Linked DNA regions of Sus scrofa. The protein of the gene in region 1 interacts with the protein of each later gene in a pairwise test. Links are inferred from orthologs where the notes say so. Each region holds a gene or a part of one and is shown in the gene's direction. Other genes may lie near its edges.

Evidence for each region. The genes of interacting proteins can lie anywhere in the genome.
Region 2: the proteins of KLHL12 (region 1) and TTBK2 interact in binary tests that used the Homo sapiens proteins (3 or more experiments, as listed by UniProt). The two-hybrid records come from large-scale screens. The link is inferred for Sus scrofa from reciprocal best matches to the Homo sapiens genes KLHL12 and TTBK2.
Region 3: the proteins of KLHL12 (region 1) and TBC1D10C interact in binary tests that used the Homo sapiens proteins (3 or more experiments, as listed by UniProt). The two-hybrid records come from large-scale screens. The link is inferred for Sus scrofa from reciprocal best matches to the Homo sapiens genes KLHL12 and TBC1D10C.

Annotation. Positions count from the first base shown.
Region 1 is NC_010452.4:24,889,482-24,892,981, reverse strand, and holds part of KLHL12 (kelch-like protein 12), read left to right. Parts: intron 1-272; coding exon 273-426; intron 427-1,780; coding exon 1,781-1,998; intron 1,999-3,500. UniProt on the Homo sapiens protein: Substrate-specific adapter of a BCR (BTB-CUL3-RBX1) E3 ubiquitin ligase complex that acts as a negative regulator of Wnt signaling pathway and ER-Golgi transport.
Region 2 is NC_010443.5:128,488,519-128,492,485, forward strand, and holds the start of TTBK2 (tau-tubulin kinase 2), read left to right. Parts: upstream 1-1,167; 5' UTR 1,168-1,560; intron 1,561-3,967.
Region 3 is NC_010444.4:5,116,028-5,120,256, reverse strand, and holds the start of TBC1D10C (carabin), read left to right. Parts: upstream 1-1,429; 5' UTR 1,430-1,774; exon of another isoform or gene 1,775-2,028; 5' UTR 2,029-2,056; coding exon 2,057-2,208; intron 2,209-2,910; coding exon 2,911-3,010; intron 3,011-3,198; coding exon 3,199-3,306; intron 3,307-3,393; coding exon 3,394-3,500; intron 3,501-3,700; coding exon 3,701-3,815; intron 3,816-4,229. Other genes in the region: PPP1CA (serine/threonine-protein phosphatase PP1-alpha catalytic subunit), read right to left, coding at 1-20.

The DNA of each region.
Region 1 (3,500 bases):
GAGCTGTGGTGTAGGTCACAGATGCAGCTCAGATCTGGCGTTGCTGTGGCTGTGGTGGAGGCTGGCAGCTGTAATTCCAGTTCAACCCCTAGCCTGAGAACCTCCATATGCCATGCATGTGGCCCTAAAAAGCAAAAAAAAAAAAAAAAAAAAAAAAAGATATGTGTATTCAGTTAATATTGTTAACCTCCTTTCAGGCTCTTGGTTGTGAGATTATGCCTTTATCGTGTGGAATTATAACCACCATGATTTCATACCCTTTGACCTTACAGCTTTCAGAAAAGGGGAAACCATACGTTGACATCCAAGGTCTAACCGCTTCCACCATGGAGATCCTGCTGGACTTCGTGTACACAGAAACTGTGCACGTGACAGTGGAGAATGTCCAAGAACTGCTTCCGGCAGCCTGCCTGCTTCAGCTGAAAGGTACAGATGCTAAAGTCGAAGTTGTTCATGCCCAGCTGGCCTGGGATGTTTAAAATCTGTGATGTAAACTTATTTGTGAAAATTAAGGAGACAGACGGGGGGGCCTCCTGTTTACTGTCCATGGCACAGAAGATCAGTTCTCAATCACAGTGTAGAGAAACTGTTCCAAATGTGAGTGTCTGGCACTTTAGGAGTAGGATTTCTTTTCTGTTTTTAGAAAAATGGAGGAAGGGATAATAGATGCATTTTCTTCGTCCAGGGACACAGTAGTCCTGCAAGAAACACAGGAAACTGGTAGGATTCACTGCCTCCTTGGACGGGAACTAGATGGCCAGGGGTAGGGAGGCTGGGGGACTACTACTCACATAAACCCTTCATACCTTTAATTTTTTTAACCACAACAATTTTCTGTTAAAAATTTAAATCGACCCACAAAGGAGTTCCTGTCGTGGCGCAGTGGTTAATGAATCCGACTAGGAACCACGAGGTTTCGGGTTCAGTCCCTGCCCTTGCTCAGTGGGTTAAGGATCCGGCGTTGCCGTGAGCTGTGGTGTAGGTTGCAGACGCGGCTCAGATCCCGCGTTGCTGTGGCTCTGGCGGAGGCCGGTGGCTCCAGCTCTGATGAGACCCCTAGCCTGGGAACCTCCATATGCTGCGGGAGCGGCCCAAGAAATAGCTAAAAAGACCAAAAATAAATAAATAAATAAATAAATAAATAAATAAATCGACCCACAAAAATGAAAGTGTGGAGTTTTCGCAGGATTAGAAGTAGTCCCCCTTCCAGTTCCCAGTCTGTCTTTCTTAACCTCCAGTTCTGTTTCTGTTGTTTTCAGTTTTTAACACTTGATTGAAACAGTGTGAAGCTTTTGCATTAGTGTGCAGCTGTAAAATTAAGTTTATACTCTGAACTTTTCATCTAGAGAAATGCAGGAGTGTCATCTCTCAGTACCTCCTGTTTCTTTGACCAGAGTCTTTTAGTAAGTTTTCATGTGGAGTAGAAGTTAGGTGCACTAATTACAATTTACAGTTACAAATTACAGTTGGATTTACATCTTGATTCCTAAGAGTCTTGTCAGCATTTTTGTTTAATTATGGCAGTATCCGAGGTAGCAGTTTATCCTGCTGCACTTGTATTAATGCTGCAGCAGACCTGTGTAAAGAAGGCCTTGCCCAAGGCCACACAGTGCATAACACAGAAATGGGATTTGAATTCCCTAAGCGTAGACTTTCAAGGCCGATATTTCAGTGTTGAACCAGGGTTCCTCTGATATCGTGTGGAGATGCTGTGATCACAGATTACAGGGTGGCCCACCCCAGGAAGTATCCTCAGGGGCTCGCTGTCTGTCTGTCCTAGGCGTGAAGCAAGCCTGCTGCGAGTTCTTGGAAAGCCAGCTGGACCCGTCTAACTGCCTGGGCATCAGGGACTTTGCCGAAACTCACAATTGCGTTGACCTGATGCAAGCAGCTGAGGTCTTTAGCCAGAAGCATTTTCCCGAAGTGGTGCAGCATGAAGAGTTCATTCTTCTGAGTCAAGGAGAGGTGGAAAAGCTCATCAAGTGCGATGAAATTCAGGTACAGACCTGGCGTGGTCTGATGCTTTCTTCAAGATGGGGCCCTAAAACCAGAAAACAGGGTGGAGTTACTGTGCTTCTGGTACAAGGCTTTTTTGTCATGGGTTTGTAGTGGCTCCAAGGTTACACTAATGCCCCTGAACCTATGTGCCAACTGTATTTGCATATTTATGAAACTTATGATCCTGGTGGTTAAGAAGCACTCTCAAACAGTGTGGAATAAGCAGAAATGGGAAGTGAAGCAGCTTTCGGTAGAACACTTCCATTTCCCCTGCAGTCATTGGCAAACATCGATTGAGAATATCTACTGTATAGCAACCACTGTGCCCAGAGCTGGAAGTCCAAGAGGCAGTAGGATGCAGTCCTGATTCCAGAGAATTCAGTGAAGTGACAGTTTCATGCCTATTCAGAGTGAGAAATCTACGTAGGGGAAAAGAAGAGTAAGCCTTCTGGGCTTAATTGAGATCAAAAAGGCAGTGGGTCAAAAAGGACAGGATGTGGAGTTCCCATTGTGGCTCAGCATTAACGAACCTGACTAGTAGCCATGGGGACACGGGTTTGATCGCTGGCCTCACTCATGGGTTAAGTATCCAGTGTTGTTGTGAGCTGTGGTGTAGGTCACCGACGAGGCTCTGATCTGACGTTGCTGTGGCTGTGGTGTAGGCCAGCGGCTGCAGCTCCAATTCAGCTCCTAGTCTGGGAACCTCCTTATGCCATGGGTGTGGCCCTCAGAAGACAGGAAAAAAAAAAAAAAAAAAAAAAAGAATTTGAAAAAAAAGAAAGAAAAAAAATATTTTGGAAAGAATCGAAATTTGATTAATATTCTAAGTGCTATGGAAGGAGTTTGCTACTTAAAGACATTCTGTAATGCAATTCTATAAACAAGTGATTACTTCCTGATTTATTTTTTTAACACCAGGATTTTCAGGTAATAACAAATCAAATACATTTCTCATCAGCATTTTCTTGACACCTTTTCCTAATGAAGTTTCTCAGGGACACTGAAGGGGCACATTGGTGCCCTCGTTTCCGACTAGAGGAATGATTTCCACTATGATGCATGGTTTCACATAGGCCCAGAGGTGCTGCTCTGGCAAAGTCTGTGGAGCCAAGGGTTTGCTCTATTTTGTTCTCACCCTCACGGTGAGGGTGGGGGGAGAGTCTTTGTGCAGAATGCCAGGTGCAGGGGTAGAATGAGCATTCAGACGTGAGGCCCATTGTGCATGGTCATAAAATAGCATTGGTTCACTTATCAAATGTTTATTGAGTATGTAACTGTGTGCCCAGAACAGTTCTAGATGCTGGGGATCCAGTTATGGATAAAGCAGTCAAAAATCCCTGTGCCCTGGAGTTTCCATACTAATGGTACCATTCTTGGCATTTTTCATCTTAATTCTCAGAACGGTCTCCATTTTTCGTAGGAGGAGACTGATGCTGGGAGATTGGTCACCTACCCCAGCTAGGAAGTGGTGGGGCCAGGACTCACCTCGATGACAGCCTCTT
Region 2 (3,967 bases), on another chromosome or scaffold:
TAGCTTTAATCATGATGTCACTTGAGTGAAGAAAAAGATTTAAAGTCAAATGAAGGTTGTAATGCATCACAATCTTTCAGTCCATGGCAGACTCCTGGGAGTCACTGTGATTATTGAGTAAAAAAAAGCATAGGACAAGGGACGTTTAAGATACGCACGTTTTTGGTTCTGCCACTAAATAGTTTTGTAGATCCAGGAAAGCTGTTAAACTTCTTGGAGTTTTTTTCTTCTGTAAGTTGGTGGGTAAGGATGGGAGAGGGGTTTAATCGTAAGGTTGCCTCTTTACCAAACAGCTTGATACATCAACACCGAATACAAATTATCCCACACAGCCTCAATGCTCCGCCCCCCTCCCTTTTTTTTTGGAAAGCCTTCTACGGACTCCCACATTCTCTTGCTTAGAATCATATACTGCACCTCCCAGGGCTGCTCACTGAACCCTTCAGTGGTGATGTTTCAAAAAGGGAATGAAATCTTGTTCGCTACAGTTGTGGAAACCCTAAGGATACGCCGGGCTCCAGGCTAATATTCCTTTCCGGAGGTTTCTGTCTCCTTGCTTACAGTTTTAGGCTTTTCCCAGCACTCATCGGTGATTAGCTTTATGTTAGGTTGTTCTGGGGAAGACGCCAATTTGCCAGATCCTGGCAGCGCTGGTTCATGCCAGGAGGTGGCACGGCAGGGCCTCACGACTTGGGGCCCTTCTTCATGACCCAATGCCTCAGCTCAGCTTGTGGAAATTCGTATGGTGAGAAAGCATTTTCGATTTTCTTCAGAAAAGGCCAACCCTGGCGTCACAACCATCACTATATAACCAAGATAACTGTTGAGCTAGGAAGACCCCACTGTGAGCCAACTAGTCCCAGAAGCCCACTTCTCCTCTCTGGGCCGGCAGGCAGTTGACGTTGAGGCTGGAACTACGAGGTCCAGAATCCCCTCGCGCACGCGCGCTTCCATTGTGATGCTCCTTTCCCGGTAACTCGCCCTCTCAGGCAAACCTGAAGATAGCGGCAATTCTCCGGTGGGGGCGGAGATGTTCTTTGCCTGACTCTCCGCCCCTTTCGTGATAGGCAATGGGACCAGCCAACCGATGTGGCGGACTCGGGACGCGTTCTCCAATCAGCACCTGTGGCGGAGAGGTGGGCGTGCGCACTGGCAGGGCAGGTGGGCTAGGCTGTGCTAGGTTGCGACGGGGGAGAATAACGTCGGGTCGGGTCAGCGGGCGCTGCAGTAGTCGCCGCAGCGGCGATGGGAGCGGTAGGGACCAGGCGGCGGCGGTGGCGGCAAGAGGAGAAGCAGGGGCTGAAACTAGAGCAGCGGCTGAGGGCCGCCAGCAGCAGCAGTAACTGCAGCAGCCGCCGCCGCCGCCAGTAAACGCGGACGGTACCCGAGGGGACTACTCGGCCGGCCGGCCCTCGAAGCCGCGCTGGGTCCCGCCGCAGTCGTCGGCGGGGGATGGGCAGGCGGCGGCAGTCCCGCCTGCTGTGGGTTGACTCCTGCGGGTCCCGGCCCTGAGCTGGACCGGAACCCTCCGCCCGAATCGCTGCGTTTGCCACGGCCCAGGTAGGACACACCCCCCCGGACCCCCTGGGCGCAGCTGGGGGAGCTCCGCACCCTGCCCTCCCCTACTCCTAACCCCCTCCTGCGGCCGCACCCCTAGCCCAATGACCGACCCAGGTGTGGAGGGAAGGGGTACCAGAGACTCCCGGGTCGCAGACTCCCTGGGTTTGTGCCAGACCTAGTCACTCCAACTCGGAGATCGCCTGCTTCTCCTCGGTTTCCCCAAAGGGTTGTGCCTCGTATCCCCAGAAGCTTTTGGTGTCTTCACTGAACTTCGAGGGTCACAAAGCTTCGTTCTATTTCTTTTTCTGTGGGTGACCCACATACCACTTGTATTCATGTTGAGTCTGGTACCAGGACTAAATCCAGGATTCTCAGCATATCCTGAGCGGTTCTTTCCCATCCGGCTCCCCCAAATGCGATAGAAGAGGGCATGGGACTGTAGAATCTGTTGTGTAGTAACGGCAATGGAGGCCCTGACTTTCTGGTACTTAGGGTGCAAGGTAGAAGGATTTGCTCGTCGTTGGCTTTGACTAAGATGATGTTGACACTCCGGGATGCTGTGGGAGGGACGAGAGTCCACACGTATTTACCTGCACATCCGAAGTAAATAATCCATTGGGAATCCAGGATACTTTATCCACAGTGAACTTAATTTTATTTGAGTCGTGGCTGCGTTAGAAGGTAAAAATGACATTGAGTTGTACTTTGCTTTGAATTAAAGTTGGTAGGTGGCAGCAATCCGGCATTAACTCTTCTCATCCCTTGCTTTAGAAATTGTTCTTTGAACATCAAAAAGGGCAATGTTGTTATAATTTGTGTTCATGTAAAGATGTTTTGGTATTAAATAGAAAGCAAGTTTTTTAATGCATGTATGAGGTTTGCATTATTATGAATGGGCACATGTACACACGGAGTATCCACTCAGTGTGTTTTTGTTACAGTGTTTGGTTCTGAGCCATTAATAACAGTTGCATTGGTTTCTAACACTGATTTGTCATGATGGGCCACAAAGATGTGTTTACTATATTCTTTTGGCTAAATATAATAGAGTAACGTTCATTTGGGTAGAAAGGGTGATGGGAGATTGATTTTAAATCTGAACACTGTATAGTTCTTTTTTAAATAAAGCAGTATTGAGAACAAATATTACTTATATGACTAATCTTGAAGAATTCATCTTAACTAAAATTTTTTCAAATAACAGGTGTGTGGACTTGGATTACATATTGTGATCTTTTGAAATTGAAAACATATTGAAAGGAATCTGTATAGAAGCTTATGTTTTCCTATGTGGTACATTTTTATCAAGGCACAAGCATGATTATGAAGGAAAGTTTAGCTAGAATGTTAGGAAATACTTTTTATTCTTTCAGTTTTAGACACATGAAAGAAATGGAAATCCTCAGCTTCATTAATTTAATTTGTAATATCAAATTGAAATAAATTTGATTTCAGTAGAAGGCTAAGAATGCTATATATCTTGCTCATTATCTTGTACTATGGTTAATACATAATTTAGTGAATTCTCTGTTGTACTATGTATGACTCAAGAATTTTGTGACTTCTTTTGACTTTTAAATATTTATTATTTTGATGCCTCAGGAAATCTTCATGAGATTAGTCTCATTTGCTTTAGCAAATTGAACTCCATTATGCAGTGCTTCAGCTATCTCTAAATGTAGTGTTAGAAGTGAAGTTTGTGTAATTTAGACAGCTTTTGAGGATATTTTACATTTAAAAAATGTACAAAAAATGTGATAGTGCTAGATTGTTGGTTTTTCATTTTGAACAAAGATTACAGAGCTGACTTTGCTATGATCATGGAATTTAACTTTGGGGGGCATTTTTTTTTTTTTTGAGTTTACAACTTTAAAAAAGTAATGTATTAAAAATGACAACTTAATTGCAATTTGTGAGAGTCTTTGAGCTGTAATCACCCAACTAAGGCACTTTCAGATTCCTAATCCTCAAAACCTGCATGGGACAATAAATGTTTGTTGCCTGAAAAGAAAAGAAAAGAAAGAAAAAAGTATAAAACAAGGAAAAATGTTTATTGAGCATTACTGAACTAGTGAAGGCCGAATTGATTAGCAAAATAGCCTATGAGAATTAATGGACAGCTTAGCTTGCTTCCTTCCCTACTTAAAAAAAAAACCTACTGTAAAAGAATTATCTTAATGATATGTGGCATTCTTTACAGTTTGAGTGTGTGTCACTCAGAATTACTCAATATGTATTCCTTTCTTTGAGGGTTTTTTTTTTTTGTTTTTTTGTTTTTTTTTTGTCTTTTTGCCATTTCTTGGGCCGCCCCCGCGGCATATGGAGGTTCCCAGGCTAGGGGTCCAATTGGAGCTGTAGCTGCCAGCCTATGCCAGAGCCACAGCAACGCGGGATCCGAGCCACGTCT
Region 3 (4,229 bases), on another chromosome or scaffold:
AGCTTCTCGCTGTCGGACATGGCGGCGCCGCCGCTCTGGCCCAGCAGCTCCGGGCCCGCTCCTGCCTCCCACCCTCCCGCTGCCTCCTTCCGGCCTGGCTCTCCTTCCGCCCGGCCCGGCCCGGCCCGCCCCGGCCCGCCGCCCCGCCTCCTCGGCCGCCCGCTCCGCCCCTCGTCGCCCCGCCCCGCCCCGCCCCGTCCGCTGCCCCAGCGCTCTAGCGCCTCCGCCGGACGCCGGGCGCAGAGGCCCAAGCGGCCCGGGGGGCGGGGCCTCAGTCACGGGGCGGGACTCGGACGGAACGCCCATCTCTGGGGCGGAGCCTCTTGGTGGGCGGGGCTTCGAGGGGCGAGGTCGAGTCTAGTTCTGCCTATGAGAAGTTGGCCACCCCTTTCCAGAGAATATGGGACAGGAAGTGCTGTGGAAGTTGTTTTTCTCTTTTAAGGGCTACGCAGTCCTTCTCACCTCCGCCCTGGGCGGGAAGTTGGTGTGAGCTCATCGGTAACTCATTGGGTCTCCCCAAATACTGCCGATCAAGTCCTTGAAGTGCACAGAGATAGCAAAGGGTTGGTCCAAGACCTGGACCTAATTCAAGGGCCTCTACCTCCGGAGTCTCTGTGGCCCCCAGGTGACTGACCAGACCTAGAAACCTGTCACTAAACTCCAAGCCCATTTTGGTCCACAGTGCCTGTGATGCAAGCTGAATTAGCGGTTAATTTTTTTTTTCTTTCTCAGCTGCACGTGGAAGTTCCTGGGCCAGGGACTGAATCCAGGCTGGAGCTGCGACCTATGCCACAGATGCAGCAATGCTGAACCAGCGCCTCTACAGAGACAAGCCATACCACTAATCCGCTGCACCACAGAAAGAACTCCTATCTATGTATTTATTTATTTATTGTCTTTTTGTCCTTTTTAGGACCACACCCACGGCATATGGAGGTTCCCAGGCCAGGAGTCCAATCAGAGCTACAGCTGCCAGCCTACACCACAGCCATAGCAACACCAGATCCTTAACCCACTGAGCGAGGCCAGGGATCAAACCTGAAACTCCATGGTTCCTAGTCCGATTCGTTTCCACTGTACCACGATGGGGAACTCCCTGTTTTTTTTTTTTTTTTTTTATGTTTTATCATTGCCTTTTGAGTAGCATAATTAAGCTACATTGTGCGCATGTGAAAAATGTTATTTCGTGAAGAGCAAACATTCAATAAACCGTAATTCTCAGAGTTCCCATTGTGGCGCAGCGGAAATGAATCCAACTAGGAATCATGAGGTTGCGGGTTTGATCCCTGGCTTTGCTCAGTGGGTTAAGGATCCGGCGCTGCCGTGAGCGGTGGTGTTGGTCACAGACACAGCTCAGATCTGGCGTTGCTGTGGCTATGGCGTAGGCTGGGGGCTAGAGCTCCGATTAGACTCCTAGCCTGGGAACCTCCATATGCCGAGGGTGCGGCCCTAAAAAGACAAAAAAATTAAAACAAACAAACAAACAAAAAAACGTAATTCTCATTGGAACCTTGAATTGAGGGTTTTACATGCCAGTAACCTCAAATCTGGAGGCAGCCTGGCCTCTCTACCTCTGACAGGCCCTGGCTCCATCACACCCAGCCCACGACACAAACCTGTATCCACCCAGCCCACCAGGGTGGTGGGAGGAGCCCAGGGCCGCTAGGGCAGGCCGGAAGCGCCTGAGAGAGGAAGGGGTAACCCCCCCCCACTCTTGGGAGGGGCCCGAAGCGGGTGGCTGAAGCTGTGGCTGAGGAGGAAGTGAGCGGAGGAGGTGAGGTGCGGCAGGGAGGTAAGCCGGGCTGGTGCGGACGGGGGCTGGGTCTGGGTCTCTACACAGCAGCCTGGCCTTTCTGCCACTTCTGGTTCTTCCCCACTCCCCACCTCTATCCCACAATGAAGAGGGGACAGAAGAGGCTTGGTGAGATACCCTGAAGTCTGTCCCCTCTGACCACAGTCAGGTCCTGGGGCTGGGGACCTGGCTGGCCAGGGGCTGCCTCTCACCTTGGCTCTCCCCACGTCTTGCAGCCTGTTGGCATCAGGGGTCTGTGACACCATGGCCCAGGCCCTGGGGGAGGACCTGGTGCAGCCTTGTGAGCTGCAGGATGACTCCAGCTCTTTGGGGTCTGACTCAGAGCTGAGTGGGCCCGACCCGTATCGCCAGGCTGACCGCTATGGCTTCATTGGGGGCAGCTCAGCAGAGCCAGGGTAAGTGGCGAAGGGATGAGGGGGGCGTGGTGGGGAGCTGGGAATGAGGGTGGGCGCTGGGGGCTGAATTCTAGAGTGAGGCCCAACCTCCAGGGTCCTGGGAGGGGCACTGCTCTGCAGGTGCCAGGTGGAATCCTAAGGCTGGCAGGACTGCAGGGGGTCAGTCCCTGACTGTCTCTTTGACTCTCTGTCTCTGAGGCTTTGTACCCACCGTTGGGGCTAAACATTCTCCCCCTTTTCATCTGGCCCAGGAATCCCAGATCCAAATCGGAACCCACACCTCTTCCTCCGCCAAGCCTCCCCATTCCCAACACGCAGATGGGAAGACAAGTTCAGAGACAGATAGGAAGGTCACACAGCAGATCAGAGACAGAATCAGACTCAAACTCATGACTGCTGGCTTCTAGTCCAGGGCTCTGTCTATGAGTTGTCTCTGTCCCTATCCTGGGGGACAGCCAACCAGCCCCTCCCCCAACACACACCTACACACCCCTTTCAGCCTCTCCTGCTTCCGCCCACATCGGAGCCACATCCTTCCCTGTCCCCATGACAACCACTGGCAACTCCTGGGTGACTGGTCACCCCCAGCCAGGGCTTCCCAGAGATCTCCAGGGCCAGGAGTTGGGTAGCAAGAAGGGTAGCAGATACGGGCTCTAGGGAACAGGTGCCCAGCGCCTGGATGCCTGTGCCATGTGCCCGCAGGCCAGGTCACCCGCCTGCAGACCTCATCCGCCAGCGGGAGATGAAATGGGTAGAGATGACCTCGCACTGGGAGAAAACCATGTCTCGACGATACAAGAAGGTGAGGGGAGGGAGGCTCATCCCCCTGGGCCTCGGCCCACACCCTGGACCCCTCCTGGGTCCCAGCAGGCCTGCCTTTTCTCCCTGCTCCCCAAAGTGGCCTTCACAATGACCGGCTGGTACCTGGGGCCTGCCAACAGGAGCAGGGGAAGCTGGCTGGCCTGATGAGGCCCCTTGCTTCACCCGCAGATAAAGATGCAGTGCCGGAAAGGCATTCCCTCAGCCCTGCGGGCCCGGTGCTGGCCCCTGTTGTGCGGGGCCCATGTGTGTCAGAAGAACAACCCTGGCACTTACCAGGTGAGGGGATTGGCAGGGGCTCCACCGCCCCGGCCCTGGCCCTTTGCCACTCTGAGCCTTCACATCTGCCTTCTCGCCCACCCACAGAAACTGGCTGAAGCCCCTGGGGACCCACAGTGGATGGAGACCATTGGCAGGGACCTGCACCGCCAGTTTCCTCTGCATGAGATGTTTGTGTCACCCCAGGGTCATGGGTACGAGGCCACTCATGCCCAGGGACCTGCAGCCCCAAAAGCCCCAGGCACTCTGGCCTAATCGCCAGCCCAGCTCTATGTCTTTGCAGCCCAGAAGACCCAGCAAGGCCCCTGAAGGGCCGAGGCCTGGGCAAGGGACGCTAGAGGGTGGGAAGGGATGCCCGGAGGGCCGGCCCCTGACAGGGTCTCTTCTGGCACAGGCAGCAGGGCCTCTTGGAGGTACTGAAGGCCTACACCCTGTATCGGCCAGAGCAGGGCTACTGCCAGGCCCAGGGCCCCGTGGCAGCGGTGCTGCTCATGCACCTGCCCCCAGAGGTGAGTACCCTCAGCCCTGCCACAGGGACCCAAGACCCTGACACCCTAAGCCCAGGGAGCCATGACCCGAACCCCAGGAACTCTGACTTCGGTGACCTGAGACCCTTGACCCCCAAACTCTAATGCTAGGGACCTAGTGATCCTTTGCCCTGGACCCATGGAACTCTGGCCTCAGGGACCTGGGATCCTTGACACCCAGCGACCCAGGGCCTCAAGACTGCCAACCTCAGGGACCTTCAAGCCCAGTGACTTTGAGTCTAGGAACACAGACCCCTGACCCCTGACCTTTGCCCCGGTGATCTAGGAGTCTCGACCTCATCGCTTTGACCTCATGACTCCTGATTCTGAACCCTGGGTCTAGGATCCCTGACCCCAGTGACCCCAAGATCCTAGGACTTGAACTTTGGGACCCTT